7 separate regions of the Mus musculus genome follow, and all the other regions are reported to be linked to region 4. Evidence: microRNA targets listed by miRTarBase, many of them from high-throughput screens and not tested one by one. Region 4 holds a microRNA gene; each other region holds the end of a gene's coding sequence.

What was found. The annotated mature microRNA mmu-miR-466c-3p reads AUACAUACACGCACACAUAAGA and lies in region 4 at 1,902-1,923, opposite strand. An mRNA with a match to its seed (bases 2 to 7 or 8) in the 3' UTR can be bound and repressed. Matches are read on the target gene's strand: a 7mer-m8 pairs with bases 2 to 8, a 7mer-A1 pairs with bases 2 to 7 and ends in A, and an 8mer does both.
Region 1: miRTarBase lists Pacc1 as a target of mmu-miR-466c-3p. The part of its 3' UTR that is shown has no 7-base or 8-base seed match.
Region 2: miRTarBase lists Prl5a1 as a target of mmu-miR-466c-3p. Seed matches in the 3' UTR shown: 7mer-m8 at 563-569.
Region 3: the mRNA of Cpd is a reported target of mmu-miR-466c-3p. Seed matches in the 3' UTR shown: 7mer-m8 at 2,386-2,392 and 7mer-A1 at 3,735-3,741.
Region 5: the mRNA of Piwil2 is a reported target of mmu-miR-466c-3p. Seed matches in the 3' UTR shown: 7mer-m8 at 2,443-2,449.
Region 6: miRTarBase lists Tcf21 as a target of mmu-miR-466c-3p. Seed matches in the 3' UTR shown: 7mer-A1 at 631-637.
Region 7: the mRNA of Akap7 is a reported target of mmu-miR-466c-3p. Seed matches in the 3' UTR shown: 7mer-m8 at 2,025-2,031, 7mer-m8 at 2,029-2,035, 7mer-m8 at 2,033-2,039, 7mer-m8 at 2,037-2,043, 7mer-m8 at 2,041-2,047, 7mer-m8 at 2,045-2,051 and 2 more.

What each region holds. Positions count from the first base shown.
Region 1 is chr1:191,349,349-191,353,416 of GRCm38, forward strand. Pacc1 (proton activated chloride channel 1) reads left to right here. Exons shown (of 8, transcript NM_025864.4): 8 at 341-1,936. The coding sequence ends at 502. Ppp2r5a (protein phosphatase 2, regulatory subunit B', alpha) reads right to left here. Exons shown (of 13, transcript NM_144880.4): 13 at 2,633-3,761. The coding sequence ends at 3,629. Among named protein-coding and RNA genes, the nearest start is that of Pacc1, 25 kb to the left of the region's middle.
Region 2 is chr13:28,151,008-28,155,075 of GRCm38, forward strand. Prl5a1 (prolactin family 5, subfamily a, member 1) reads left to right here. Exons shown (of 5, transcript NM_023746.4): 5 at 110-588. The coding sequence ends at 295. Among named protein-coding and RNA genes, the nearest start is that of Prl5a1, 11 kb to the left of the region's middle.
Region 3 is chr11:76,778,481-76,782,548 of GRCm38, reverse strand. Cpd (carboxypeptidase D) reads left to right here. Exons shown (of 21, transcript NM_007754.2): 21 at 139-4,068. The coding sequence ends at 365. Among named protein-coding and RNA genes, the nearest start is that of Gosr1, 17 kb to the right of the region's middle.
Region 4 is chr2:10,481,875-10,485,942 of GRCm38, reverse strand. It overlaps Mir466c-2 (microRNA 466c-2), which reads right to left and starts at 1,977; the gene lies at 1,888-1,977. All of the region lies in intron 10 of Sfmbt2 (Scm-like with four mbt domains 2), which reads right to left. Mir467a-3 (microRNA 467a-3) reads right to left here and starts at 2,265; the gene lies at 2,183-2,265. Mir669a-6 (microRNA 669a-6) reads right to left here and starts at 1,747; the gene lies at 1,661-1,747.
Region 5 is chr14:70,370,589-70,374,652 of GRCm38, forward strand. Piwil2 (piwi-like RNA-mediated gene silencing 2) reads right to left here. Exons shown (of 23, transcript NM_021308.2): 23 at 1,889-3,848. The coding sequence ends at 3,692. Among named protein-coding and RNA genes, the nearest start is that of Slc39a14, 21 kb to the left of the region's middle.
Region 6 is chr10:22,814,040-22,818,107 of GRCm38, reverse strand. It overlaps Tcf21 (transcription factor 21), which reads left to right. Exons shown (of 2, transcript NM_011545.2): 2 at 282-845. The coding sequence ends at 371. Gm10824 (a long non-coding RNA gene) reads right to left here. Exons shown (of 5, transcript XR_380181.3): 2 at 3,992-4,060; 3 at 2,986-3,146; 4 at 1,734-2,376. Among named protein-coding and RNA genes, the nearest start is that of Gm10824, 2.7 kb to the right of the region's middle.
Region 7 is chr10:25,167,797-25,171,864 of GRCm38, reverse strand. It overlaps Akap7 (A kinase (PRKA) anchor protein 7), which reads left to right. Exons shown (of 8, transcript NM_001379238.1): 8 at 617-2,775. The coding sequence ends at 813. Among named protein-coding and RNA genes, the nearest start is that of Gm36313, 16 kb to the right of the region's middle.

The DNA.
Region 1 (4,068 bases), not on the chromosome of region 4:
AAGAAGGAAGGTGCGTTGGCCTGGTGGCAGAGTCCCCAGGATGAGTGTGAGGGGACAGCTGAAGGCTGAGGTAGCTGAGATCAGACAGAGGGACCAACCTTGAGGCTGAGGTATAGTTTAGGGAAATTTCTTTGGGTCACTTGTTAGATTAAGCACAGTATGAATGTCTTATTTACACAAAGATTTTTGAGGCGGAATCCTTTTACGTGGAGGGGCTCACAGTTCCCTTCTGAGCAGTGGTAGGGCAGAAGCAGCATGCGTCTCTGTTGGCTCCAAAGTCTGAGACAGACAGAGTCAAGGCTGCCGCCAACCAGCAATCCCGGTCTTGTCTGCCCCACAGATAATCACAGCCAATCCTTGGAACACCATCGCCCTGCTCTGCGGGGCTTTCCTGGCGTTGTTTAAAGCAGCAGAGTTTGCCAAACTAAGCGTGAAATGGATGATCAAAATCAGGAAACGATACCTTAAACGGAGAGGCCAGGCGACAAACCACATAAGCTGAAGCGCCCGTGCCACGGCACTCCGACAGAGCGAGACACCAGCAATCCTGAACTCACTTGAAGGGACCCTGCAGGGAAGGACAGTCCCGTCCATCGCACTGGAGGCTCAAACCCGGCCCGGGAGGGAAACGCCCAGTGAATAACCTGAAACTTATTTAAGTACTTAAATTATTAACGGACATCTTGCAGAGCTGCCTAGTGCCTTGGAGAGGTTCCTCCTATTTGGTCACTAAATAGTTAAGGCTTCTTCTTTCCCTTAGGGCTTTTTTTCTTTAAAGCGGACTGATGTGCCCTGTACGCAGAATTCCTTTTAGACCATCTACTGTTACTTAACAAGAACTTGTTAGAGCCTAGATTTGACTTTTTTGTTTTTCCTTAAATGTAGCCCCGCTGTAATCACTGTGTAGACCAGGCCTTCCTCGTGCCTTCCCATTGCTGAGACTAAGAGCCTACATCACTCCCCGCAAGCTTTACACGAGACCTTAAAGGCTACTAGAAACTTGTGATTGTATTTCTGATGTGCTAGAAGTGCTAGCAGAGGTATATACAGTAGGCACCTACTTAGTGTATCTTGATTTCATTAACAGGTAAATAAGGTTGGGCAAGCACAAAAGGGATGGGAGTGAATACCCAGTAAGCCAGCGGGCAGCAACGCTGGACGCTGATGCTGTATGGCCAGCAAACCCAGAAGGTAGTGTAAGTCTGGACCGCAGCATAATGGCTCTGACTCAGCACACATCACTGCCAACAGGGAGGTAAGCTGTGCACTGTCCACAGGTGGCCAAGAGGGATGGCCACACCACATGAGCTAGTCCCTGCGTCCTACAGAAACACACACCTAAAAGGGTGGCCTTTAGGGCTTTGATAAACAGCACCTCTACATAAAACCAAAAACTCTATAATAGAGTTCCACATGTGGCCAGAGGTAACATTGAAGAACTTGTAATTATGCCTTAGGGAATCGGAAGGGAAATACTCACAGGTATAAGGAGGACATTTTTGTCTCTAAATTAGCAGCAAGAAACTGTTTTGCCCAAATCCCTAGAAATAAACTTGTACTGTGAAATATTCCTGCTACCTTTGTCTCACATATATACAAGAATTTAGATTTTTAGCCTAAAACTTTTATTATAAAACACCATTTTAGCACAAATGCCAAGCATAAAGCATCAGTGACATTAAAAATATGTGAAGGACAGAAAGTCGAGGGGCAGGGGTGCAGTCCAGTCACAGGATGTGTGCTTACCACGCAGGGCCCTTAAAGTTCACAGTTGCATAGCACTTCAGTAGTTAAATATCTGCCTCAGTGAACACTAAAGCTTTATTTTCCTGTATTGTGAAAGCTGAGCTGCTTTTAATTTTGCTTTAGATAACTAGGAAGTAATTTTTGCCTATTCATAGAATAAAAACCCGACTTCCACTTTCTGGAAAGGCAACCCTGTGTTTTGTTTTGTTTTTTTTTAAGATTTATTTATTTATTATATGTAAGTACACTGTAGCTGTCTTCAGACACTCCAGAAGAGGGCATCAGATCTTGTTACAGATGGTTGTGAGCCACCATGTGGTTGCTGGGATTTGAACTCCTGACCTTCGGAAGAGCAGTCGGGTACTCTTACCCACTGAGCCATCTCACCAGCCCGCAACCCTGTGTTTTGTGTGGGTCGCCCAGGGCTATTCTGCAGAGGCCTAAAGGGAGCAGCCTCATTGGACTGCAACAATGGCCCTCCCTGGGATGCCCACTGCTTGAAAAGAGAGCAAAAATTACAGGCCACTGTATTACAAGGGAGTTTGTCCAGAGGTCATGGAGGCTGCTGTCACAGCAACAAAAAACCCCTGTGACCCTTCTAAACTGGTGTTTAGTTGAAACCATGTTACAGTCTCCCTGCCTTTCCCAGAACTGCTACTGCCATGGATTCTGAGATTTCCCGTTTTAGTTAAAACTAGCTTTAATGTTAAACTGTCCTAGAACACGGAGGGACAAGAAGCTTGGGATTTTATGAAAAGATCGGTTAGATGGCTAGACTCCTAATCCCTGGACCACAAGCAACCTAATTCTAATTAGAGTACATCCGTAAGTTATAATTCTCTAATATAAATATCTTCCAGAGACAAAAGAGCAAATGACATAAGGCAAAATACAAACATAGACTTTATTAAATGCTGCTCAATCCTCAGTAAAGATCTCTCATTATAAAACAGTTTTCCATACAACTGCAAGGCAAGAGGCTGGAATGGTACTGGTAACAACAGTGTGAAAAATACCTGACCAGGTAAAAACAGACAAAGCTTCTACATAGTCAGCTCTGAGGACACCTGCTGCAGTTCCTTTAAATAAAGCCAGGCAGTGACAGCTAGCAGTCTGCATCACACTGTGGGAGGGACCCAGAGCTCCACCCTGCAGGCAGGCAGGCCTGGGGACTGGCAGGGTGAGGACTGGGAAGGCCCTGCCTCCAGCCTTGGAGGAGAGGAATGAAGGAGGTGAGCCTCGGGTCCACCCGTGGCCTGTGCTGCTCCGCACACGCTCCGGGGAGCCGCTGCTGAAGGGGGGATTTGGGAACATCAGAATTTTGGTTTACTTCCCCCCCCCAACTTTAATACTTTGTGCTTCAGAAGCCTGGAAATGTCAGATGTTGTAAAACCCAGAGTATGGCAGTGTCTTTAATGAGGCTGGGCTCTTGTCCCCTGCCCACACCTCTCTAGGAGAGGTGAGGGAAGGGCAACCCCTCCGCTTATCTTACGAGGCTCTTTCCTCAGATGTACTCAAGGTGTGCAGCACCAAGGTGTGCAGCACGGTGAAAACACATGATAAAGGAAGTGTGCAGAGGACGGCTTCATCTGTGTGTGCAGCACAACCGGGCTCAAGTCGCAACACACGCTTGCCACTCCCACGATCACCTCACTCAACAGAGACAGTGACACAATCCATGATTAGACAGAGTTTACAATATACTGTGGCCGTGATACAGCACAGGGCTATGTTTTAGTCCATAATTCTTTCGCTTTTACGCTTGCCAGGAAAAACTGGCCTCCTAATTATATTATACTGATGAGGTCTGCTCTGAAGTTTTTATATATTCAAAAAAAAAAAAAAGTGTACAAAACGACCGCCCAGCAGGGGGAGCTGATCTTTATTTGGCACTGGTACTGCTGCGAATACTGTGCATGTTGTAAGCATTGTTCTGTTTCTCTAGAGCCTTCTTCAGCTGCAGCTCCTCTAGTTTTTTCCACAACTCTTCCCGTTCCAGTTCTTTCTTCTTCTCTCTGTAGAGAGATCAGCAGTTTTAATGGGAAGCTCAGGAAAGACACTGGTTGGTGGCTTTGTGGGGAGCGAGCATTACAATGCCCGTGGCTTCTGTGACACGCGTGGTATTACATGGCACTAATTCACCGTAGTCACTCGAGGCCTCTAGGTCAGCTACAGTTAACACTCAGGCCTCCTAGGGAGAGGTAGAAGCCCCACCCTTCCATACCAGCAGAAAGGCAATCTACCCACCCGTCAGTTTATGTTCAAACTGAGTGAGCTTTAAAACTAGATAAGTAAAGAAAGTACAGGCTGTAAAGGAGGGCT
Region 2 (4,068 bases), not on the chromosome of region 4:
TTTATATTCATAATATTCTTCAAAATATCATTCAAATTGTTTAAATAATGAAGCTCAATAAATATTAATAATGTGAATAATAACTGGCTGACTTTTATTTGGTAAATAGGTTAATCCTGACCTTAAGAAAAATGAAGACTACCCTGCCTGGTCAGGAGAGCCATATGTACAGCAATCAAAAAGGAGAGTTCAACTTTTTGGTTTGCATAGTTTGTTTTTCTGCTTGAACAATGATGCACAGAAGGTTTCTGATTTCATCAGTATCCTGAGAGACCAAATTGTGCCTAATCAATGAAAAGCTCTCATCCTTCCTATCTATTTCTGGGGCAGTCCATACTGATCCAATCCTTAAAAAGTTCTTTAAGTTTTATAATATTTATGTGTGATTAAATCTAAAGGGTCACTTCTTTTCAAATTTTTATGTTTAATTAAATATAATTACACCACTTCTCCTTCCCTCTACCCACTGCTTGCTACCCATTGTCCCCTGACTCATTTTACTCTTTATAAAATGAATTTTTATTAATTATAATTCCACATGCATAATGTATTATTGCTATGTGTATGTATAAATAAATGAATAAATATATAAATGTAGCCCGTCTTTATTGTTGCTTTATATATTGCTTTCTTTATTGTATTCTTTTTAGGGTTGACAACATAATATTGGAGAACCATTTTTCCCATTTCTTTCTTCATTTCACCCACATACTGATATTCCCTCTCTAGTACTCCTCTCCATCCCACCATAGCCTCTTTGATCTTTCCAGTTTAATGTAGTTGTTCCAGGTAATAAACTCACTTCTGAAATTTGAAGCTAAGTACCATAGATGGGAGATAAGATACAGTGTTTGTCTTTCTGAGTTTGGGTTACGTCACTGACACTTTAGAAATGTCAGTGTCTAACAAACTTAATTTTTCATCATTTCTTTTGTTCATTTAACAATAAAAAATTAAACCTGTTCAAATTTGTTACCAAAAATAGTTTTTAAAAGATGATTCAATTTCACTTAGAATCATAATAAGTTAATATAAGTTATTATAATCAAGGTTTTGATCCTACAAAATAAACTGAAATCTCAAGTATTTTTATGAAAGCCAGCCATTGACTATGAACCATTTTCACAGAAAAATAACGAAAATGCAAATATTATAAAGTGTCTATCTTCAAATACCATAAATAGAATAAAGAAAAAGAAAAGATCTACTGAATGGGCTTAACTAGAATGCAAGATATGGAGCACAGCATTGGAATCTGAAAGATCAATACAAATTATTCCATCTGAAAATTACAATAACATACTAAAAAAATTGCAGCAGACTGAATAGTCAAACAAGAAAATATTCGACATTCACACTACTGTGCTTCAAAAGGGAAAAAATTATATATATACATATTTATAGTGTTGCCTGACCACTCAAAGACGGGAAAGCTGAAAATCTTTTAACTTTAGTAGAAGTTAAAACCTTAAAGATTCAAAACTCTTTGCGACTCTAGTTAGGGTAAATCCAGTGGTGTCCGCACATATGATAAACACAGTCAAATTTCATGAAAAAATTCAATTACTTAAAATAGACATGAGGGGATGTTGCCTTACCCACACAAAGACAAAAAAAAAAGCAAAACAAAAAAACAAATATCTGTGTATCTGTTCTAAATCCATGACATCTATAATCAATTAAGTAGCATGCACTAAAAGAAAAAGTCTATTATAAATATGCCTAGATAGACTATCTTTCTGAAATGAAATAAACAATTTCACAAACATAAGGCTTCTTTGGCAGTATTAAACCTAACTGAAAGAACTCATGTATGCTAAGATATCACTGTGGAATTCAACTTTTGCCATCAGCTGACCTATTCTTAAGAATTGCTCAAAGAAACAATAGGAAAAAAAGATTTTATCCACACAGAAAAGATAGATTCTCTGCAGTATTCTATCAGATAGTAAAAGAACAGAGAGAGTAAATGGTTCTCACTGTATTCCATAAAACAGAAAGGAAATAAACTCTCTAGAACTCACTCTATGAAAACAGTATTATCCTATTACCAAAGTCATATAAAGACACAACAAAAAGAAAAAAACTATAGAATTTTTGATAACGATGTAACATGGAGATTAAGCAGCTCATTAATGAATGATGAGTGGGTCAAGGAGAAAATTTAAAAAAAAAATCCTGGAATTAAATGAAAATGAAAATTCAATGCAACAAAACCTGATATTATTGATAGTTCATTGATGAGATCTTAGCATTTGAACTTCTTTTGTTAGTTCTAGGTCTGATATAGACCTATTAGACTGGCACAGAAGAGAACGTGTACAGGCAACTTGGAATTAGAAGTTAGATCTAACTTGAATAGAATGATGTCAGGTGGACAGAGGAGAGTGGGTTGATATATAAGATTTGCCTCCTGGTCCAAGCCTAGAGTGTGAGGGTAGATCTGGCTAGGTGAAAAGGTCACATGTGGTTTCAGAGGGGCCTATGGACTAGGTGATGGGTAGATAAGGTCCTGCAAAAGCCTAGGCATCATTTAGAGCCCAGTCAAGAGAGGCCAGAATAGGCCCAGGCACTAGATGCGTGACCCTGGCTATATATGGCAGTTTGAGGAAGGCAAGTAGATGGGAGCATCAAGAATACATACCATACTATACCCTAGAGAACGATGTAGGGTATATAGCAAGGGAGATAGTTTGGATGCAATCTAGAAGTAACATGTGCTGTTAATAGGTAGTTTAAAACATGAAAACAAAAATAATTGAAAATTCTAAAATCTTGACTTATTTACCCACATGTCCCTCAACTGAAGAATGGATACAGAAAATGTGGCTCACTTACACAATGGACTAATATGCAGCTATTAAAAATAACGACATCACTGAGCCACCTTGGGCGCGAACTCGGCAGATGGTCCCACCATATCAAGAGGACTGTCCACACCATAGGCACCCTAGTATACCCAGGATCTTGGGATCACTGGTGAGTGGAATGCAACATCTGTTCCAAAACAACCGGGAGGGACTTGTGCCAGCAGGTACAAAAATACAGGAAACCTAACCAACCAGCACTTGGGGTTCATTCCAGTAGGGACCAGCCCTGGGCCACCTTGGCCACAAACTGTATAGATGGTCCCACTGTCCCCAGAGGACTCTCCATGCCATAGGTGCCCTAGCATGCCCAGGATCTTAGAAACACTGAAGAGAGTCTGCCTCCAGAGAAGGTTCTGACTGCGGAACTAAGGTAAGACAGCCATCTTGTATACTGAGTCTTTAAGAGACCAGTCCACGCAGGGGAGCGCACAGGCCACAGAAGCAACAGACAGGGTCCCTTCATGCCTTCATCCTCAGCCAGGAGGCAGAGCTGAGACCCAGACCTCTGGGCACCAGAGGAAAGTTGGCCTCCAGGGAGGTCTCTGACTAGGGGACTCAGGTGAGAGCGCCATCTCCTTTACCGGGTTTCTCAGAGACCAATCCAAGCAGAAGAGCATGCTGGCCGCAGAAGCAACAGAGATTCTGGACAGGGTCCCTTCGGGCCTTCATCTTCAGCTAGGGGGCAGATCTGAAAACCAGACCTCTGTGCACCTTCCCTGCAAAAGGAGGGTTTGACCACAGAAAGTGTTCTGGCCACTGGGACTCAGGAGAGAGTTGTACTCCCAGGAGTGCTGACAGAGGCTAACAGAATCACAGGAGGAACAAGCTCCAGCCAGAGACAGCTAGAACATATAACACCAGAGATTATCAGATGGGGAAAGGCAAACATAAGAATCTTACTAACAGAAACCAAGATTACCCAGCATCAAAAAAAAGTAGTACTCCCACCACACAGCAAGTCCTGGATACCCCAACATACCTGAAAAGCAAGATTCAGATTTAAAATCATATCTCATGATGCTGGCAGAGGATTTTAAGAAGGGCATTAATAACTCAAAGGAATACAGGGGAACACAACTAAACAGGTAGAAGGCCTTAAAGAGAAAACACAAACCAATAGACTTAAAGACTTATAGAAAAACATAACCAATCAGGTGATGGAATTGAATAAAACCATCCAAGATCTAAAAATGGAAAT
Region 3 (4,068 bases), not on the chromosome of region 4:
GCCAGGTCTACCACAGAGGATCATCAACAGACAATCAAATTGCTCTTAATTGCATGCAATTAAAGTAAATGTCATATTATTAATAGTGTCATCAGAGGTAGTTGCTTGTTAACACTCCCGCATGGTTTTGTCGGACAGGTGCCACTATGTCAGCACTGATCCTAACGGCTTGCATCATTTGGTGCATCTGCTCCATCAAGTCTAATAGACACAAAGATGGCTTCCACCGGCTGCGGCAGCATCATGATGAATATGAAGATGAAATTCGCATGATGTCAACTGGCTCTAAGAAGTCCCTCCTAAGCCATGAGTTCCAGGATGAAACGGACACAGAGGAGGAAACATTATATTCTAGCAAACATTGAAAAGCACGGTTTGCATATCTCCCTGTATACGTACCAGGCAAAATGACAGCTCTTCTTGGGAGACACTGCAGTAAGAAGAGAAATTCCTTCCGCCTTCAAAGAGCTTTGGGAAGTTAGCCTGCTAAATTCATACTCTCTGAATGTCACAGGCAGTTTTGAACTTCCCTTCCTTAAAGTACTCTTAACCTTTTCTTTAAAAAAAAAAATCTGATTTCTATTTATGCAGCAGAAGATGGGGCAGCCGCTTTGTTTCCCTTTTTAATTTAAGACGAGCTGTTCAGAGACTCTATAGAGACAGCATAAAGCCAGCTAGTAGATGTTGTATCTTGCACATCAGACATTTACTAGTGGCTTTAGTTTTGTTCTCTTTAATTTAAAGGCCAAAAGAATCCAGAAACATTAAGGCAGGGACACCAGTCAGACTCTGACACAAAGCTTTAAAAACTCGAGATTTTTCTCCATCTACTGAGGAGTTCTCTTCTCCAGTTAGCACATAGCTGGGGTTTCTCTTATTCAGGTCTAATGGAGGCTGGATGATGCTTAGACAGATCTGACATTAGGAAATGGAATAAACGGGCTTCCGTATTTGTCTTTCTACCTGTTTCCAAGCTGGGTCAGAACTGGTGGGCTGTGCTCTCAGCAGGATTTTACTACCTCTCTTGTAAGGTTTAGCAAAGTTCTAGATATCTTTATCCTAGAGGAGAACTCACTGGCTTTGCTGTGGAGGCACCAGATGTCCCATGAGTAGAGGTGAAAGGGAGATGGAGCAGAAGCAAGGACGTTGTCTGTCTTATCCTGGTAAAACCCATAGGTGCTGCTGCTTTATCTGTGAAGCACTCATTCTCCTAGGAACGCCTGTTCCTTAGCATTTCCTACATTTCAGCCCTTCTGTGTGTACACCTGCGGTTTCCATATGACCCACACCTAAAGGTTCTGAATTCTACTGCTGAAACTATCTAAAAGTGGAAGAAACCTACTTGCACATTCTCAGTACACTTGGATCCAAAATGTCTACACTTGATGCTCCGGCCCAAGCCTCTGCCCTGTGATGGCATACTGTCATGGAGATAGTGTGGCCTCTGCACATGGGCCTCCAAAAGTAATTCAGTCCTTTGTCCTATGATTCCCTTGACAGTCTTTTTCTTTTTCTTTTTTTGATCAAGCAATTATGTTAAAATTTTCAGTTCTAAGCTTTGAAATATGGTTCTTTCCATGTAAAAAAGTCAACTGAAGGACTGCCATGTGATAGAACATTGGTATGAAGGTGTCCTCTTCAATGCCAGTCAGGCCTAAAAGATTGGTATTTTATTGTGTCTGTCTGAATGCTGTTCAGTGGAATGATGCTTTTTGTAAGTGTGAGTCTTACCAATGACGTAACAGTTTAATATCTTTGAATGTTTTTAATGGCCAAGTTGCTGCTGAACTTGTACTAAATCAGGGGATCACAAAACTAGCTCTTACCTTTCCAAACTGCATTCATGCCATTGATGTATCAGTTACCCTAAGGCTCGACTCACCCAGGTCACTCGGCCACACTTGGTGAGGAATGCACCCAAGTGGCTGTGTAAAGTTGAGATCTTAGTTGATGGAAGGGGCTAATGAGATCTTGGTATCTGTTAGTCACGGTCACTTAGGTGGCTTAGGTCCAGCTGTTCTGGAATCTGTCCTGGTATCAGCATATCTGAACCTTGCTTCTCTGCATGAACAGAACAATTAGTGGCAGTTAATGCTAATGAAGAGCACATGACTCCATCTCTTCCGGTAATGCTTTGTTTTCCTAAATGATGTGTATTGTTCTTTTTCAGCTTTATTTTTAAAAGTGCCAAGTCAGAAAACCAACAAGTGGCCTGTGGCTGGGCCCTGCTTGGGACAAATAGAAACCAAGTTCATGTGACAGCCTTCACGTTACTAGAGTTCACTAAAGGACACTTTCCACTTGTTCTCTGGCATTAAGTGTGTCTTTAACAGTTCATCTCAGCAGTCACAGGCCATGCCTTGGTCACAGGCCATGCCTTCTTAAGTATGTATGAAACCTTTTTAGAGATGAATATATAGAATAGTTCTCTTAGTCATCTTTTCCTGAAATGAAACCCAAATTCTGCTCTAAGTTTTGAGTCTTTAATGAACTTCTAATGTACTGAGGCGGAAAATCCGGCCTCCCCAGCCTGCCACCTATGAACATGAATGTACAAGACCCATGACTACAAGACTTTGTTCTTAGCCCAGCCTTCTTTGGGTTGTGAAACCGATCTAATCCTACACTACTTCGGCAGCCGAGGACACTGAAGCCATATGGGGTGGGCAGTGCATGCCTCCAGTGTTTCTCCTGGAGACCTTCCATTTCTTCAGAGTCCTGGACTCAAGTGTCACAGTATTAGAAGTTTGCCCCAGTCTGAGATGTGCCTTTCCTTTGCTCACAAGGTGTTGCTTTGTCCTCGTGATGAGTTTATAAGCCTTCTTCCCTCCCTGCTCCTTAACAAAAACAATGTGATGGATCGGTGATGTTCACAGTTCTCCCTGTGCGGATGCACTTGTGCTCATAGGGTTTGGTAAGATGATCTCAAGTAACTACACCAGCTTTGGTGTAGCAGTGAACTCCGGGTGGTGCTGGGATCTGATCCAACGAAAAACACTTGCCATTCTCACCGAAGAGAACTGGCTTTGGGACTCTGTTAACTTTGGGGAAGGAAACATTGTATGTTTGGCTCAGTGTGCTTGGCTGGTTAATCTTTGGTAATTTCACCTGAATGAGATTTGATGAATTAATGAATATTGAATTTAAAACTAATTATGAGTGAAAAATAAAAGGGTCGTGCTTATGTCTGAACTTGCTGCGTTTCTGAGCTAGCACCAGCTCACCAGGAACCACGGCTCAATACTCCATTCATTTCCACCTGTCCCCAGCATTAGAGGTTTCTCGTCTGCCAGACTCACACTCCTGCCAGGTTTGGTCCCTGCTCTCTCAGAAGCTTCTTGGCTATGAACATGTCATGGTGTCCTGCAGTGTGGGTCTCTGGTGGATTGTTTTATGGTAGCACCCAAGTATCTTCCCCCAATTTTTCCTTTATTGTTATTACTAAAATTCCACTAATGGTTAAATATTCAATGATCTTTCTGTCTAGCAACTTGTTGATAACTTTAGGTTTCTGATTTGTTTTAATTATAGCAGTTTTGGGGGGTGAATAGGGCCTTCGATTAATGTCAATTGAATTTGGGTTTCTAGTTTTTTGAAGAAAACCCTCCCAAATACACTTTTCCTTTATACTTGGAAAAACTTCATTAATAGTTCCACTTAACTCTCAAAGTATTATCCTGGTTGATTTTGAAATTTGAAAATAGGTTACCATTTTGAGGCAATTAGATAAAAATTATGTAAATACAGACAATTACAATGTTTATAAATAGTGTAACATGAATGTACTAGCTACATTCAATGCTGCAGATTTTTTGGAAGTGTGACATGGTATTTTTTTATGTTCCTTTTACCTCTTTTTTTTTCCAAATACTTCCCCAGATCCAAAATTCTCCACAACAATTTCTATGACATAACACCCATTTGTCTTAAGTGCTTCAGTCTTTTGTTTTATTTCATGCACTGTGCCTTCAAAATGAAAACTTAAAAGGGACTTTAAAAGAATTGAATAGTAGTTTTAAAAAGTTAATCTGTGTAATTTATGTGAAATCTAACTGTACTGAGGTCCTT
Region 4 (4,068 bases):
TCTTATGTGTGTGAGTGTGCATGCCTGTGTGTGTGAATACATTTGTATGTGTGTGTATTTATATGTATGATCATATACACACATGTACGTGCACACACAATTATATGCACTTGTGCATACCTAGGATCCATCACACAAATACAGGGTGATCTCTAACTCATTATGAAGTTAGCATGAATTTGAACTCCTGAGACTTTTAACTCTGGCAAGTGGTTTTCATCTGATAAGTGACATTATTCCCTATACCATGAATATACACTCAATGAAACTCTAAGCACGTATAAATCAAATGGATGACTGCCATGTGTGTTTGTGTGCACATGAATGTGTCCCTAGTTGTGTGGGTGTATATATATATATATATATATATATATATATATATATATATATATATATGCATGTTCATATACGCGCATGTACAGGCATACTTCCCTATACACATAAACACAAACACAGGGAAAATCACATGAATTCCGGGCTGATCTCTAACTCATCATAAAGTTAAACATGAATTTGAACTGCTCATCCTCATGATGCTGGCAAGAGTATTCACCTCCTAACTGAGTCATAGCACGGGCCATTCGTGGGAGTATGTTTGCATGTGAGTATATGCATATTCATATACAGAAGTGAATATGTACACAACTATACACACATGCACATTCTTGGTGGGCATCACATGAATCGCATGCTGAACTCTAACTCATCATGAAGTTAAACATGAATTTGAACTCCTCATCCTCCTGACACTGGCAAGAGTGCTCACCTCCTAACTGAGACATAGCTCTGGCCATTCCTATGAATGTGTGTGCATGTGTGTATATGCATATTCATATAGAGAAGTGAATATGCACACAACTATACACACATGTACATTTTGGTGGGCATAATATGAATCCCATGCTGATCATGAACTCATCATGAAATTCAGCACGAACTTGAACTCCTGATCCACCTGACTCTGTCAAGGGATTTCACCTACTGAGTGAGACCTCTCCCCATTCAGTACTGAAAAATCTTAAAACTCTAAGTCACATGTCATTCAAATGGATCGATGAGTTGCACTGATGTTTTTGTGTGTGTTTCTGTTTGTGTCTGTGTACATGTACATATTTGTGTAGATAGGTACATCCATATACTCAAATCCACACACAATAGAAACAGATACAGATAGGGATACATAGGGGACATCACATGAATCCCAGGCATATCTCTAAGTCATCATGAAGTAAAGCATGAATTAGAACTCCTGATCCACAATCTTTCACACCTGATGAGTAAAACCTTTCACTGTCCCACTACTTCATAATCTTGAAAACTTTGAGTCACATGTCATTCAAACGTATAAATGAATGCAATTTTTTCCTGTGTGTGTGTGCTTGCATAAACACGTGTGTTTATGTTATGTATATCATGTCAACACATACAATGCACATACAAGTAAGCACACATGCACATACATGGGTTGCATGACATTAATACCAAGATGATCTCCAAATGAAGTTAAGCTTGAATTTGCAATCCTTATCCTCCTGACTTTGTCAATCTTTTACACCTGGTGAGTGAGTCCATTCAATGTCCCCTATTGCATAATCTCTAAAACTCTACATCACTTATCATTCAAAGGGATTGGCGAATGCCATTCCTGTGTCTGTGTATGTGTGCTTGCGTTTATACGTGTGTGTGTATGTTATGTATATTCAAATATAGACATGAACATGCACACACAACTATACACACATGCACATACATGGAGGAATCACAGGCTGATCTCTCATGAGGATAAGTGTAAATTTGAACTCCTGATACTCTTAACTCTAGCAAGCATTTTCACTCTAAGTCACTTATCATTCAAATGGATTGACGAGTGCCATTCCCCTGTGTCTGTGTGCTCATATGTGTCTTATGTGTGCGTGTATGTATATGTATATCATATTCACATATGTACATGCACACACACATCAACACATATACACATACGTAGGGGCAATCACATGAATGCCAGGATGACCTCTAACTCATCATGCCTTTACTATGAACTTGCACTCCTGATCTTCCCGACTCTACCAAGGGTTTTCCCGTGGTTTGTGAGACCTCACCCTGGCCCAGTCATACATAACCTCCAAAGCAGTAGGTCACATATCATTCAAATGGATCCGTGAAGGCCATTTCCGCATGTCTGTGTGCATGTGTGTGTAGGTGTGTGTATGTATATGCATAAAATATACACGCATATACATGCAGGCACTTACGCACACGGGCACATACATAGGGGCCATCACATTATTCCAGGATGATCTCTAACTGCTCATGAAGTTAAGCATGAAATTGAACTCCTGATCCTCCTGACACTGCCAATTATTTACACCTGGTGAGTGAGACCTTCACTGTCCCTCTACTTTATAATCAGCAAAATTCTAAGACATATATCATTCAAATGGATCAATGAGTGTCATTCTTATGTGTGTGAGTGTGCACGCCTGTGTGTGTGAATACATTTGTATGTGTGTGTATTTATATGTATGATCATATACACACATGTACGTGCACACACAATTATATGCACTTGTGCATACCTAGGATCCATCACACAAATACAGGGTGATCTCTAACTCATTATGAAGTTAAGCATGAATTTGAACTCCTGAGACTCCTAACTCTGGCAAGTGGTTTTCATCTGATAAGTGAGATTATTCCCTATACCATGAATATACACTCAATGAAATTATAAGCACGTATAAATCAAATGGATGACTGCCATGTGTGTTTGTGTGCACATGTATGTGTCCCTAGTTGTGTGGGTGTGTATACATATATATATATATATATATATATGCATGTTCATATACGCGCATGTACAGGCATACTTCCCTATACACATAAACACAAACACAGGGAAAATCACATGAATTCCGGGCTGATCTCTAACTCATCATAAAGTTAAACATGAATTTGAACTACTCATCCTCATGATGCTGGCAAGAGTATTCACCTCCTAACTGTGTCATAGCTCAGGCCATTCGAGGGAGTATGTTTGCATGTGAGTATATGCATATTCATATACAGAAGTGAATATGTACACAACTATACACACATGCACATTCTGGTGGGCATCACATGAATCGCATACTGAACTCTAACTCATCATGAAGTTAAACATAAATTTGAATTCCTCATCCTCCTGACACTGGCAAGAGTACTCACCTCCTAACTGAGACATAGCTCTGGCCATTCCTATGAATGTGTGTGCATGTGTGTATATGCATATTCATATAGAGAAGTGAATATGCACACAACTATACACACATGCAAATTTTTGGTGGGCATAAGATGAATCCCATGCTGGTCATGAACTCATCATGAAATTCAGCACAAATTTGAACTCCTGATCAACCTGACTCTGTGAAGGGACTTCACCTGCTGAGTGAGACCTCTCCCCATTCAGTACTGAGGAATCTTAAAACTCTAAGTCACACGTCATTCAAATGGATCGATGAGTTGCACTGATGTTTGTGTGTGTGTTTCTGTTTGTGTCTGTGTACATGTATATATTTGTGTAGATAGGTACATCCATATACTCAAATCCACACACAATAGAAACAGATACAGATAGAGATACATAGGGGGCATCACATGAATCCCAGGCATATCTTAAAGTCATCATGAAGTAAAGCATGAATTTGAACTCCTGATCCACAATCTGTCACACCTGGTGAGTAAAACCATTCACTGTCCCAAACTGCATAATCTAAAACTTTAAGTCACATATCATTCAAACGTATAAATGAATGCAATTTTTTTCTCTGTGTCTGTACTTGCATATACACGTGTGTTTATATTTTGAATATCATGTCAACAGAGGCAATGCATATACAAGTAAACACACATGCACATACATGGGTGGCCTCATATGAATACCAGGATGACCTCTAACTGAATTAAGCATGAATTTGCAATCCTTATCCTCCTGACTTTGTCAATCTTTTACACCTGGTGGGTGAGGTCATTCAATGTCCCCTATTGCATAATCTCTAAAACTCTACATCACTTATCATTCTAAGGGATTGG
Region 5 (4,064 bases), not on the chromosome of region 4:
TTTGATAAAAGAGCAAGTCATCCCTAGACTGTTCTTTTTCACTTCATTCAACAAAATGCTGCTGGAGTAAAGCCAACACAGCAAGTGTAAGGTACTTCCTGGATTGAGATCAAGAACTTCCTCATTTAAGAAGGGAGGAAAAACCGGGCGGGCGCGGTGGCCTAGACCTTTAATCCTAACATTCAAGCAGCAGAGGCAGGCAGGTCTCTGACTGACTTTTGAGGCCAGCCTACTCTACAGAGTGAGTTTCAGGACAGCCAGAGCTACACAGAGAAACTGTTTTACTTTGGATTTTATTGTTATGAAGAGACACCAAGACCAAGGCACTCTTATAAAGGAAAACATTTAACTGGGGCTGGCTTACAGTTTCAGAGCTTTAGCCATCATGGTGGGAAGCATGGCAGCCTCTAGGCAGACATGGTGCTGTTAGAACTGGGAGTTCTACAGCTTGATCAGCAGGCAGCAGATCTTTTGAAACCAGAGTTACAGATTGTAGTGAGTCACCATGTGTGTGCTCATAACTGAACCCAAGCCCACCTCCACAGTGACACACTTCTTCCCACAAGGCCACACCTCCTTCAGTAAGGACACCTCCTAATAGTGCTACTCCCTGTGGCCAAGCATACAGACACATGAGTCTACGGGGGTCATTCCTATTCAAACCACCACAAAAACCTTGTCTCAAAAAACCAAGGGGAAGGGGACAAAACAAGACCTCTAAAACATAGAGTTTCTTTAACAAATGTAAAGAAATGCAGGGTTGTAAAGGCATGTGGTTGGAAGTGATAAAAACAATGAGGCAGGTTACTGTCACTGGGCCAATGGTTACAGACACACCAGAAAGTGTACTTAACAGGGACATTTATTTGGGGGTTTGTGTGTGTGTGTGTGTTCCTGGAACTCATATCATCAGGCTAGGGGCATAGTTCCTTCATCCAGCAAGCCATCTTACTGGTGTGCTTTTTTTTTTTTTGAGATAGGGTCTCATGTCTGAAGCCTGGCCTCAAACTCAATATATAGTCAAAGGTGACCGAGAACTTCTTATCCTCCTGACTCTGCCTCCCAAGTGTTGGACCTTGAGGCCTGACCTCTATCTCCCTGCCTCCCTACATATTATAAATGTAACTTAAAAAAAATTCTTAATGGTAGAGAGGTCACTTCTGGCGAAAGCTTACTGGTTCTTTCTTGAGCTAACAGTAACTGTTAAGAAAGACTGACAAAGGGAGAGATGTCTCAGCAGTCAAGAACACTGGCTGCTCTTCCAGAGGACCCAGGATCAATTTCTAGTACTCACATGGCAGCTTCTAGCTGCCTGTAACTCCAGTTTCAGAGAATCTGACACCTTCATTCAAGCATACATGCAGGCAAAACACCAGTGCACATGAAATAAAAATAAATAAATTGATTTTAAAAATAGAAAGAAAAACTAACAAGCCAGGTGGTGTTGGCATACAGCTTTGATTCCAGCACTTGGGAGGCAGAAGTAGGTGGACCTCTGAGTTTGAGGCCAGCCTGGTCTACATTCTACATAGTGAGTTCCAGGACAACTAGGGCTACACAAAGAAACCCTGCCTTGAAAAATCAATCAATCAATAAAATAAGTAAGTAATTATATTTATTTTTTTAGCACCCTGATGAAAATATACTAGTGGAGAGTATTCTCTTAGTAAGCTGGTGAGGGTTCTTATTTACCCAAAGCCCCAAATGATTCAAACACATTCACAAACTTAATGCATTGCTATGTAGGTCTCCCAGTTTGCTCAGGGTGAAATCACTTTGTTCCCAATGGTGCTGCCCCTGACACGCACAATAATAAAGGAATAACTCTAACTTTTGCTTCTCTTTGAAGGAAAAGCCACTTAATAAACAATATTCTCTCAGACACAACTATACACATACATTGTTTTTATTTTACACCACAGGGCCCAATTGTTTGGCCCTGAAACTGAAAAACAAGGCATAGAAAAACCAAGGCAGAGAAAGTACATTCTGGCATTATGGTCAAGTATCTGTTCTACCTAAAGAGAAAAGGAGTGCTAGGAACAGCAACTTCTACAGACAAATTCAAAAGACTTCCAGAGAAATCCAGAAAGTGGAACTTAAGACTCGTTTTTCAGTCTGTTCTGTTTAATTCTATGGCTTTTACATTTCAGGTCTCAGCCTGGCCTTGGTCATAGACTCCAAAAGCCATGGGTGTATTTGAGGACCCTAACCCTTATTCCTCGCCAACCTCTGGGTGCTATAGCAAACTAAAGGCTTCCCTGGACAATGTTGTCTTCGAGCCCAGGCTTGGCCTGTCTGAGTGAGGGCTGACACTGACTCCCACAGCCCCCGCTGCTCCTCAGGACTTCACACTGAGGCTCTCCTAGCACACTGTTATTTAAAATGACTATTTCTGCTCAGTCCCCTACCATCCATCCACCACACCAAAACATAAATAGATACATACACATTTGAAAAGGTTAAGTAAAATTAGCTTTTAGAGCCCAGTAAAGGGATGGCCCACTGAAGCCTGAAGAAACTTGAAGATTCTGAAACAGAAGGAAAAAAATAACACAGAAAACCAGTGCTTCCCCCAAATACTGAAGCCCAGAGGCCCTAGGAAAATTTCCTACATGTCTAGACTCAGGTGAGACTATCACATTTTTCCAAGCCAACTTTGGGAAGCCTGAAACTTTGGGATTTTGAAATTTTCCAAGCAACACCAGCCCACAGCTGGAAGAGACTCTTGCGTAATCTCATTTACAGACTTTTGCAGAAAAACTACACTCCACCCCAAATGTTCCTAGGTCTGCTGAATCCTTTCCATGTGTTCTAATTGAATTTATTCAAGATTAGTCACAAAGAACAAAAGTGTGTGCGTGCGCACATGCGTGTATCAGTCGGGCTGCAGGAAAGCAATCTGATGATGGTTGCAAATAACCAAAAGGACCAGAAAAGCAGCTCTAGCCAGACTCTCGGGAAGTCAGACTCACAGCCCTGGGTCAGGTGGGCACATACGCCCGACTGTACCCTACGCTGGTTTTTCTACATGTCTTTCACACATGTAGACAGCTGCACAGTAACTCTCCTTTAAGATGTCTGCAATGACTTCATGTCACTTCTGCCACCAGAAATAGGATGGTTCTGTAGGCATAACCTCTAGGAACTGATGCTCAGGCTGCCTTGGGGGCTATTTTTTCCTTGCTTGACTTATTTGGTAGGGGGATTTGACATGCTAAGAACATGTCATCACTGCCCTGTCCGAAGCTCCACGCTCGGCTGAGGAGAAGCAGCGCTGACGGCACACACTCCATGAAGGCAGCGGGCAGCCAGCGGCTACCTACAAACTTGCTTCCTTGACCCCAGGCTTTGGTTTTGTTGTGGGCTTTGAGGGGACAGTGGTTTGTTTTTGTTTTTTGAGACAGGGTCTCACTCTGTAATCTTGGCTAGCCTAGAACTCACCATGTAGTCTAGGCTGGCCTTGAACTAAAGATACTCCTGCTTCAGTCTCCCAAGTGCTGGGATAAAAGGCATGCACCACAACACCCTACTATGATATCAGGGTTAAAAGAAGAACAGAAATCTAATTCTACAAGGATGGAGAAAGAGAAAATGCAAACATAAAATTCCACTGCCATTTCTGTTGATTCTGTAAGGAGGAGCTGAGCTGAGTCCAGTTGCTCCTTGCAGCCGGTGTCCAAGTTCCCAGTTACAGGAAGAACAGGTTCCCACACAGCTGGATGGCTGGCTCATGATGCAAAATCTGTCCGGACAGGAAAGCTAGCTTGTGGGCATACTTGCAAGGAGCTGGAACTCGGATGGTACCAGGCCAATTCCAGTACATGTGGCATAGTTTGAAAGTCAACCTAAAGTTAAGAAGAAAATGTGTTATCACTTCTACCTCCACCTAGGGGTGGGAAGGATTTCACTCTCTTGGGGATACAACACAGCACTCCTACCAACAGACTGGGGGAGTCTGGGAAACCTACTGTTGTTTTTCAGGAATTGTTAGTTTTATAATTCTTTCTTTAGTTTGGTTTGGGGTACAGGTTCTCAACTATCTGGCTTATGCTGGCTAGTAA
Region 6 (4,068 bases), not on the chromosome of region 4:
CCTCAGAGCTGAGTCTGGGCTTGTTTCGGGGTTCCAGTTAGAACCCAGGAGACCTGTTTTGCCCTTGTTCCACCTCCCACCTCCACCACCCACCCCCACCTCCACCTCCACCTCCACACCACCACCACCACCACCACCTCCTGGGGTTGTTTGCATTACCCTGCCTGGCATTAATACACCTAGGAAGCGACAGACCCGTGGCCTCTCTGGTCCTAGCCTGCCTGCGCACTGCGCCGCCTCCCCATGTCTACTCACCCTCTCCACCCTTTTCTCTCTTGCAGACGTGGCCCTTTATGGTGGCCGGCAAACCAGAGAATGACCTGAAGGAAGTGGTGACCGCCAACCGCTTGTGTGGAACTACAGCATCCTGACCTTGGAGGTGCGAGTCTGGGAACCGTGAGCTCTGGGGGCAGTGGGCCGGCAAGGGTGACGACCCCTGCCCTTCCCTCCCTGCCTCTGCTGGTGCCTTGCATCGCTCCTCTCCCTATCCCACCCCGCAAGAACACTTAACTGCGACGAGGAGATTCGTTTCCAAACCAAAGGAGACCAACTGTACTTACCGATTCTCATCTATTTAACTTGATTAACTTCTGCCATGAATGACTGCAAGCCTGGCTGGTCCAAGTGCAATATGTAATTATATATATATATTATATATAAATAGATAAGAAGAGCCTATCAATGTGTATCTTTTGTACAATATGTTGTAAAATGTAGATCATAGAATAGCTGACTTTGACAGTCACATTTATAAAATAAGTCACTCGAAGAAATATATTTTTTTCAAACAGGTTTTGCTACTTCCGAAAATAAATCTTTCTTTATATTGAAAAAAAAAAAAAAAAGCCTGGACATTGGTGTGATTTCTTTTTTAAAATTTTGTGAAGAACATTGGAATCCATGGGGACATTTCATGATTAAAAGGTAGTTTTTTTTAACATTTAGCCCAAGATCCTAGAAAAAAGATTAACTCTGATTCCAACTAGGAAAAGACAAGTCATGTTTCCTACTGAAAACTTGTTTTGTTCATCCCAGTTATTTTAAGCCCACTAAAGATATTATAACTGTAAATAGAGAATGAACAGGATTACAGTTATCCAGTCACACAGACCCGAGGACAACGAAGAAAAAGAAAATTTGACTCTCCACTGTTTTACAGTGTGCTTGTTCTGAGGATCCTGATAGTAAACTATGAGAGTTTTATAACTTTCCGTGTGTTTTCTGTGATTTTAAAAACAGACCCAAACGCTGCTTGCAATCCAGTGAAGAAGAGATTGAAGCTCTCATGTGAATTTCAAATGCAGCAAGATATTTTGCTTGTTACTGACTGGCAATTAATTAATTAATTGCAACAGTAACCGTTCTTGCCTGCTTTTCGGTGCGGTTACCCCTTTCGTTAAGCTCCCGCCAAGATTTCCCGCGGGCTGGGTAGTAACTTAAACATCTTCCAGACTGCGGAACAGCACATAGGGGAAGATTAAGTTGAGATAAACAGAGAGGCTAGGCAGAGGAGCCTGGGACCCTGCTGCCTCTGCCCCAGCGCAGCCCGCCGCGGCGATGTGCCAGATGCCACCGCGGCTGTTTAATGTTCGGGGTTATGACCGCAGTGTTTACAAGACGCCCTCGGTTATTTATACTGTTATCCCTCTTAGAGGCCTTGAAACTTCCGCTTCGCTTTTAGACACCCCTTACCCCCTCCCCCCCCCCCATTACTTCTTAGCTGCTTTTGGTACCTGGTTAGGATAAGTTCTACTCAGGACTCCAGCCCACGTAAGGACCACGCGGGGCGGAGCCTTCGTGAGATCTTCCGGGAAACACCTATTCCAGGGGTTTGTCACAGCTGAGAAGCCACCGAGCCCCAGGTGCAAACTCCGCTGTCCAGTGACTCTTCATCTGTGTCGTTTGCACACTTTCACTGGATGATATTTCAAGGCGTCTGGCGACGCCTCAGACCTATCCCAACTTGACTTTCAAGAGTTCAGTTCAAACTCTAGGTGGTGACACCTGCTCATACGCTCACCTGCCTTCCCTTCCACCTAAGAGATGGGGCCCTCGCCAGACGGACCCAGGGATTCTGGCAGAGGAAGGAAGGTTAGTGTTACCACCAGAAGTCAGGCTGCGGTTAGCCCAGGAAAATTCCCAAGTTTCTAGTCACGTTTTTACCAGCCAAGTAAATTCTTGACGTTTTGCGCACTCTGCGCGGGTGGCCCCATAGAAGCTTTTTCTCCATAAACAGGAGACATACACGATTTTAAAGTCTTTGTTCATCCTAGTTATAATCTGAAGCCTCGGCTTGAGGAGAAAGGTCATGAGAAACCAAAGTCCTGGCTCCACACGGGGCTGTTTTCTCAGAGGGCCAGATCCAGCTTTCTCATCCTTACAAGAAAAAAATAATGATAACATTAGTAAGAGTTGGGTTTGTGTTTCCCCCAGTTGCTGTCCAAGCTTTAATCCCGCTCAATGAAATTATAATATGTGTGACCTCTTTGTGAAAGACCAGATCCAGCAAATAAATATCCAGTACTTGAATGAGTTGGCAGGTGACTACACCCAAACAGAGGGTGTGTTTTTAGCAGCGGTGGTGATGGTCCTTTGTATGGTCTAAAATGTGTTTCTTCTAAGCAGATAGATTTCCACCTCCCTCTGGTGTTCTCTGAATTTGCATAAAGCTGTTTACTGAAATTACTCCTACAAAATGAAACTTTTTTCAGAAAACCGTTCTCTGAACTTGCATAAAGCTGTTTAGTGAAATTACTCCTACAAAATGAAACTTTCTTCAGAAATAAGCGCGCGCTCTCTCTCTCCTTCCCTCCCTCCTCATCTCTCTCTCTCTCTCTCTCTCTCTCTCTCTCTCTCTCTCTCTCTCTCTCTCCTTCTCTCCCAACATCCCTCATCCCTTACTCCCTCTCTCCATCCCTTGTCCTTCCTCTCCCACAGAGCATCACTGGCCACTAACCCCCTCCACCAGACCCTGCCCACACTCACCGTGTTCCCATGTTCCCCTTCTTCCCTGCTCCTCTTGTTCTCACTTCTTCCCCAAAGTTTGCAACTCCCTGGCTGCCTGGTACCCAGCCTAGGTTCCAGTGCCAAAATTTAAGATGCGGTTGCAAAGGAGTAGAGACTATCTTTGTCCCAAGCCAGTAGAGCTGGGAGGGGAGAGGGGAGAGAATGAGGAGTGTCATGTGACCTTTAAGCTATAAAAAGTATCCTAGAGAAAGCACTTTCAAAAAGGACCAGGCAAATGACCAAATTACTATAGCCACCTAGGAGAAAAATGAGGTGTTTCCAAAAGTCTGAGTTCTCAGACACAGACTCATAATGTGGCAGCAAATGACACCTCTCCCCCTCCCTCCCTCCCTCCTTCTCTATCTCCCTTCTCCCCCCGCCCCCCCCCCATTGCTTGTAGGACTTAAAATTTTTACAAGCAATTCAGTGTGCTTTTAGCAGGTGTGCCCACTCTCAAATCAAAGACTTACTCCAAAAAGTAATAATAAACAGAGCTCGGGTATTTACTGGTTATATATATAATCTCCAGTCCTTAAGAGAACACCACCCAGGGCGACTGTTAAACCAACGCTGTTTTTGTGAGTCCCTATCCTCCTCCGGAGAGACTGAATCTGGAGGTCTGGGGTCACAGGTTTCTATGTGATGTTTCTGCTGCTGGTCTGGGGACAGTTTGAGAACCATGATTTGAAATGCATAATTAAGGAAACAAAAAGAGTTAAAGGTTAAGGCAGAGGAAAAGAGAGTGTGCCTGTGTGTGTGTGTGTGTGTGTGTGTGTGTGTGTGTGTGTGTGTGTGCGCGTGCGCGTGCGCGTGCGCGTGCGCGTGCGTGTGTGTGTGTGTGTGTGTGTGTGTGAGAGAGAGAGAGAGAGAGAGAGAGAGAGAGAGAGAGAGAGAGAGAGAGAGAGAGTATGCTTCCAGTTCAATGCTCTAGTTTGCTGCTCACTCTAGGGTAAATGCACACAACTGTCAGCCTTGAGTTGCTCACCCTTAGAAAACATGAGTTCGGTTCTGTACTAAGGATATGGCCCGACCAGGTGCGCTCTCATCTTGTTCCCTAGAAGA
Region 7 (4,068 bases), not on the chromosome of region 4:
CTTCCTAGGAGAATTTCCTATCTCTAAAATTACAGTGATAGCAATGAGATTTTAAAATCAGGATGTTAGCCCTGCAGTCCTTTTTAAAACCAGCTGCTACTGGTCGTGATTACTACACCTGTCTTGGTGTGTGAGCGCTGGGAGTTTATCGACAATGATCTCTATGCCAAGCGTTTAAACATGAGTGAGCCTAACCTGTAAGATAACGGGGGCAGTCTTGATTTCCTGATAGCTAGCACTGGAAAGGGAGCAGCAGATGCAGAGCTCCTTGGTGAATTCATGTGCTCGAGACCCTAGGTGTGGGTACAGGCAGCTCCACAGCTGTCATAAGCCTTGGGTGAGAGAGGAGCGCAGAGCTATGTAGAAATGAAAGGCTGCGGCGCTGCCCGCAAGGGTGTGTCGGGCTGCTTTTCAGCGTAGAGTCTGCAGGAATAGACAGGTTCCTGCTTGGACAAATGTCATAGGAAAAAGCAACCCAGTCTTGTTGGAATTATAGATCCCATTTGCCAGAGTGAAGGGCACTTGCTCTTTTAACTAGCTGAACTAGCTGGACCCTGGTGGCCTAGTTGCTATGGCAATACGAGCTCAGTGACCTCTCTTCTCTTGTGGAATGTAGGTGAGAAGGACCGAAGGGAGCCTGAGGATGCTGAACTGGTCAGGCTCAGTAAGAGGCTGGTGGAGAACGCCGTGCTCAAGGCTGTCCAGCAGTACCTAGAAGAGACGCAGAACAAAAAGCAGCCAGGGGAGGGGAACTCCACCAAAGCTGAGGAGGGAGATCGGAATGGTGATGGCAGTGATAACAACCGGAAGTGAGAGCTGAATCCAGTCCGGTCCGATGCCCCTCTGCTAAGTCGTAGACTAACTCGCAATGTGTCTTGTTCAAGCCCTGGAGATCACCTAATACTTCTCTGATTGATGTGATTGATGCGTTCGGTGTTGCTGCGACACAACAGAAAAGAATGGGGTGCTGGGACCAGCAGAAGAAATTAATTTACAGAAGAACAACACTAAGTCGGTGTGCCATCGACCATGCACAAGGGAGAGCGGGCTTTTCGGACCGCCTGCCTGACTCACAAGGCGGAGGGAGGGAGAGGACTTGCCACAGACAGAATACTGCCGTTTACATTGCTTCGATCCTTTGACTACTTTATCGGAGGCCAAAACTTGCACACAGCTATCAAGTGCTAAGTTCAGTTTGTCATTGTTGAAATGACCATTAGTATAGTGAGTCCACAATGTTTCCTGTTTGTCCTCTATGTGTTGTTACCACACGGTGATCTTTATTTACAGTAAATTAAGTTTCGTGTAAAGTATATATTTTTGGTAAAATGCAATCTTTTCTATGAAATGTGGGTGATGTTTTAAAGGTTTTTAAGCCTTATTTTGATAAGTCAATGTGCCATATTTAATGTACTTCATTGATATTTGTACTTTAAATGTATTATATAATTTTTCCCCTTAGGCAAGAAGCCAGTTGGAACCCAAGACTTAATTAATGAAGCTTTGCACCGAGAAAGGATGGAGCTGAAATCCAAAGTGAAACAGATAAAAGAACTTTTGTTAAAGCCTGAGACTCAGGCCAAGATTAGAAAGGAGCTTTTTGAAGGAAGAGTTTTTAATAATGGTAGTCCAACAAGCAATGCTGATTTCAACCTGATTTTGCCATAGCTCTCCACTGTTGTTATGCCTGGTAAAGTGTTTATGAACTCTCAGCCCATTAAATAGCTCTTTGGTGAGTAAACAGAGTGTTCTTACAGTTTCTACAAAGCCCACAAACCAACACTTGGTAAGGAATTAACAACTTCTTGCCAAAGAAAACATATTTTTGCCTTATCATGGTCATCATCACCATTATCACCATCATCACCATCGTCACCATCATCGTCATCACCATAAAGTTGAGTTTTAGAATGTTCGTTTTGGTATCTTTGACTCATTTTATAGAAATAACTTCTTAATTAGCTGTTGTAAGATGTTCCATGGGGTCCTTGCAGATAATATTGCGCATACATATATATATACATGTATGTATGTATGTATGTATGTATGTATGTATATATATATGCACACACACTATGAAAAACACTATGAAAAATCCTTTACAGACAAAAAACAACAAGAAAACAAAAATAAACCATCAACAGTATTCTAAGGGTCACCTGCCTCCTGTTGATGTAAGGGTCACCTGCCTCCTGTTGATGTGGCCCTTGTCACTTCAGAGGAAGCATTGTCCGGGCTTGTCCAGTGTCACAGTCCTTTTGCTGAGCGTTTGAATGCTTATTGCTATCAGTACTTGAATGAACATCAGTAAGTGTAATCATTGTAGTCATGGGTTAAGAATGTTTTATAATATCTATATTATTATTTTTCACTGATAAAAGTACAGTTGCATTTTTTTTTTTAATTTCTTAGTGAAGAATGTTCAGGGCTCTTATTTCCTACTCTATGAAGATAAGCCCAAGGCTGTGTTCTTTACGATTTGAGTAGTTTGCACTGGTTCATTTATAAACGAGCATTCTTGAGGTGTTTCCCCCCATGTGATGTTTCTTTGTAACAGCTCTTTGGGTAGTTACTTTAAAATTGCTGCTACTGGTAGATGATGGGGAAGGAAGTAGTTAGAGATGAAATATGTAATCCTCCCACACACAGTCCAGTTTGCTCGTGTATTCTGGTTATTTTTTCACTGGGTAGCTGATACTACATGAATTCATGATGTATTCCTTTATACGGCCCTACGTTTTCATGCCCTGTAATAAAAGTACTCTTTCCCCTGTTGCTTTTCTTCTTTTCTTTCCTCTGGAAACCATTGGGTTCTGGTTGGTGTTCCAAAGCCATGAGCAGGGACTCTGAGGTTTTAGTGCTGCCTGCCTTTGTGCTAAAGGAAGCATAGCACTTCACCACTTTCAAAGCAGTCAACATCAGACGCAAGTAACCGCAGAACAGAAAACTCAAAGATAACCCAAGTGGCGTCTACAAAATAACTAACCCTGTGTCCAGAGTAGCAAATACAAAGAGAGCAAATTCATCTGCGTGTGCACATCTGCTAGCTGCTGGCTGTAAGCCCCCTCTGAGAAGCTGGCCGTGAACCAGGAACCCCCCCCCCCCCCGAGTGGCTGTCCATGAGCCTTCTGTGACAGGGGCTGTCTACGAACCCCCTCTGAGCAGTGGAGGTCATCACAGCTTTTCTTGGGCAACTTTAAAGGAAGCAAAGATGCTTAGGTCTGTCCTGGTTTTTCAAAGGAGGAAACCCACTCCAGGGGTCGGGTGGCTGCCCTAGTCAAAGGCACACTGCTGTTAAGAATTTGGACCTGAGTCACAGCCTAGTGGCCCCAGCGCTCCATTGTTACTTTGTCCCCTGATCCACGAGAACAATTTCAGATCGACATTTCTTAGCACCAGTCTGTATCTTCTTCTCAAGGACTTATCCGCAAATCTAAAGAGCTTGAAAGATGTAGTGCTCCGATTCCATGTCTCTCTGTTAACTTCAGTTGCCTGTCAGTTTCTGTTGTTAAATACCCATGAAGACCTGGGCTATGGTGCCAGGTGATTTGGGCACATGGTTAAATCTCTTCCTTAAGTGGTTCTAGTAGGAAGTAATTAGTACTTTCTAAGTTAGGACACTGGGGGAAATTTATGCTGAAATGGTCAAGGATGTAAAACAAAAGAGCGCTGAATTTAAATTAAAATCTATTCTACCTAAAAGGTGACATTTCCCACAATGGGGCATTTCCTCCCTTTTACAAATACAATATTTCAAAAATTAAAGATGAGTAATAAAGAGGAAGTCCTTGAGCCCTCCCACCACAAACACACACAGACACACACAGTCACACACAGACACCCCCCAACAGTCACACACACATACACAGTCACACAGATACACACACACAGCCACACCCAGACAGCCCCCCACAGTCACACACAGACACCTCACACACACATAGTCTCACACACACAGAGACACACAGTCACACAGACACACAGTCACACACAGACACAGACAGCCCCCCCCCCCACAGTCACACACATATACACGGTCACACAGGCACAGACACACAGTCACACACA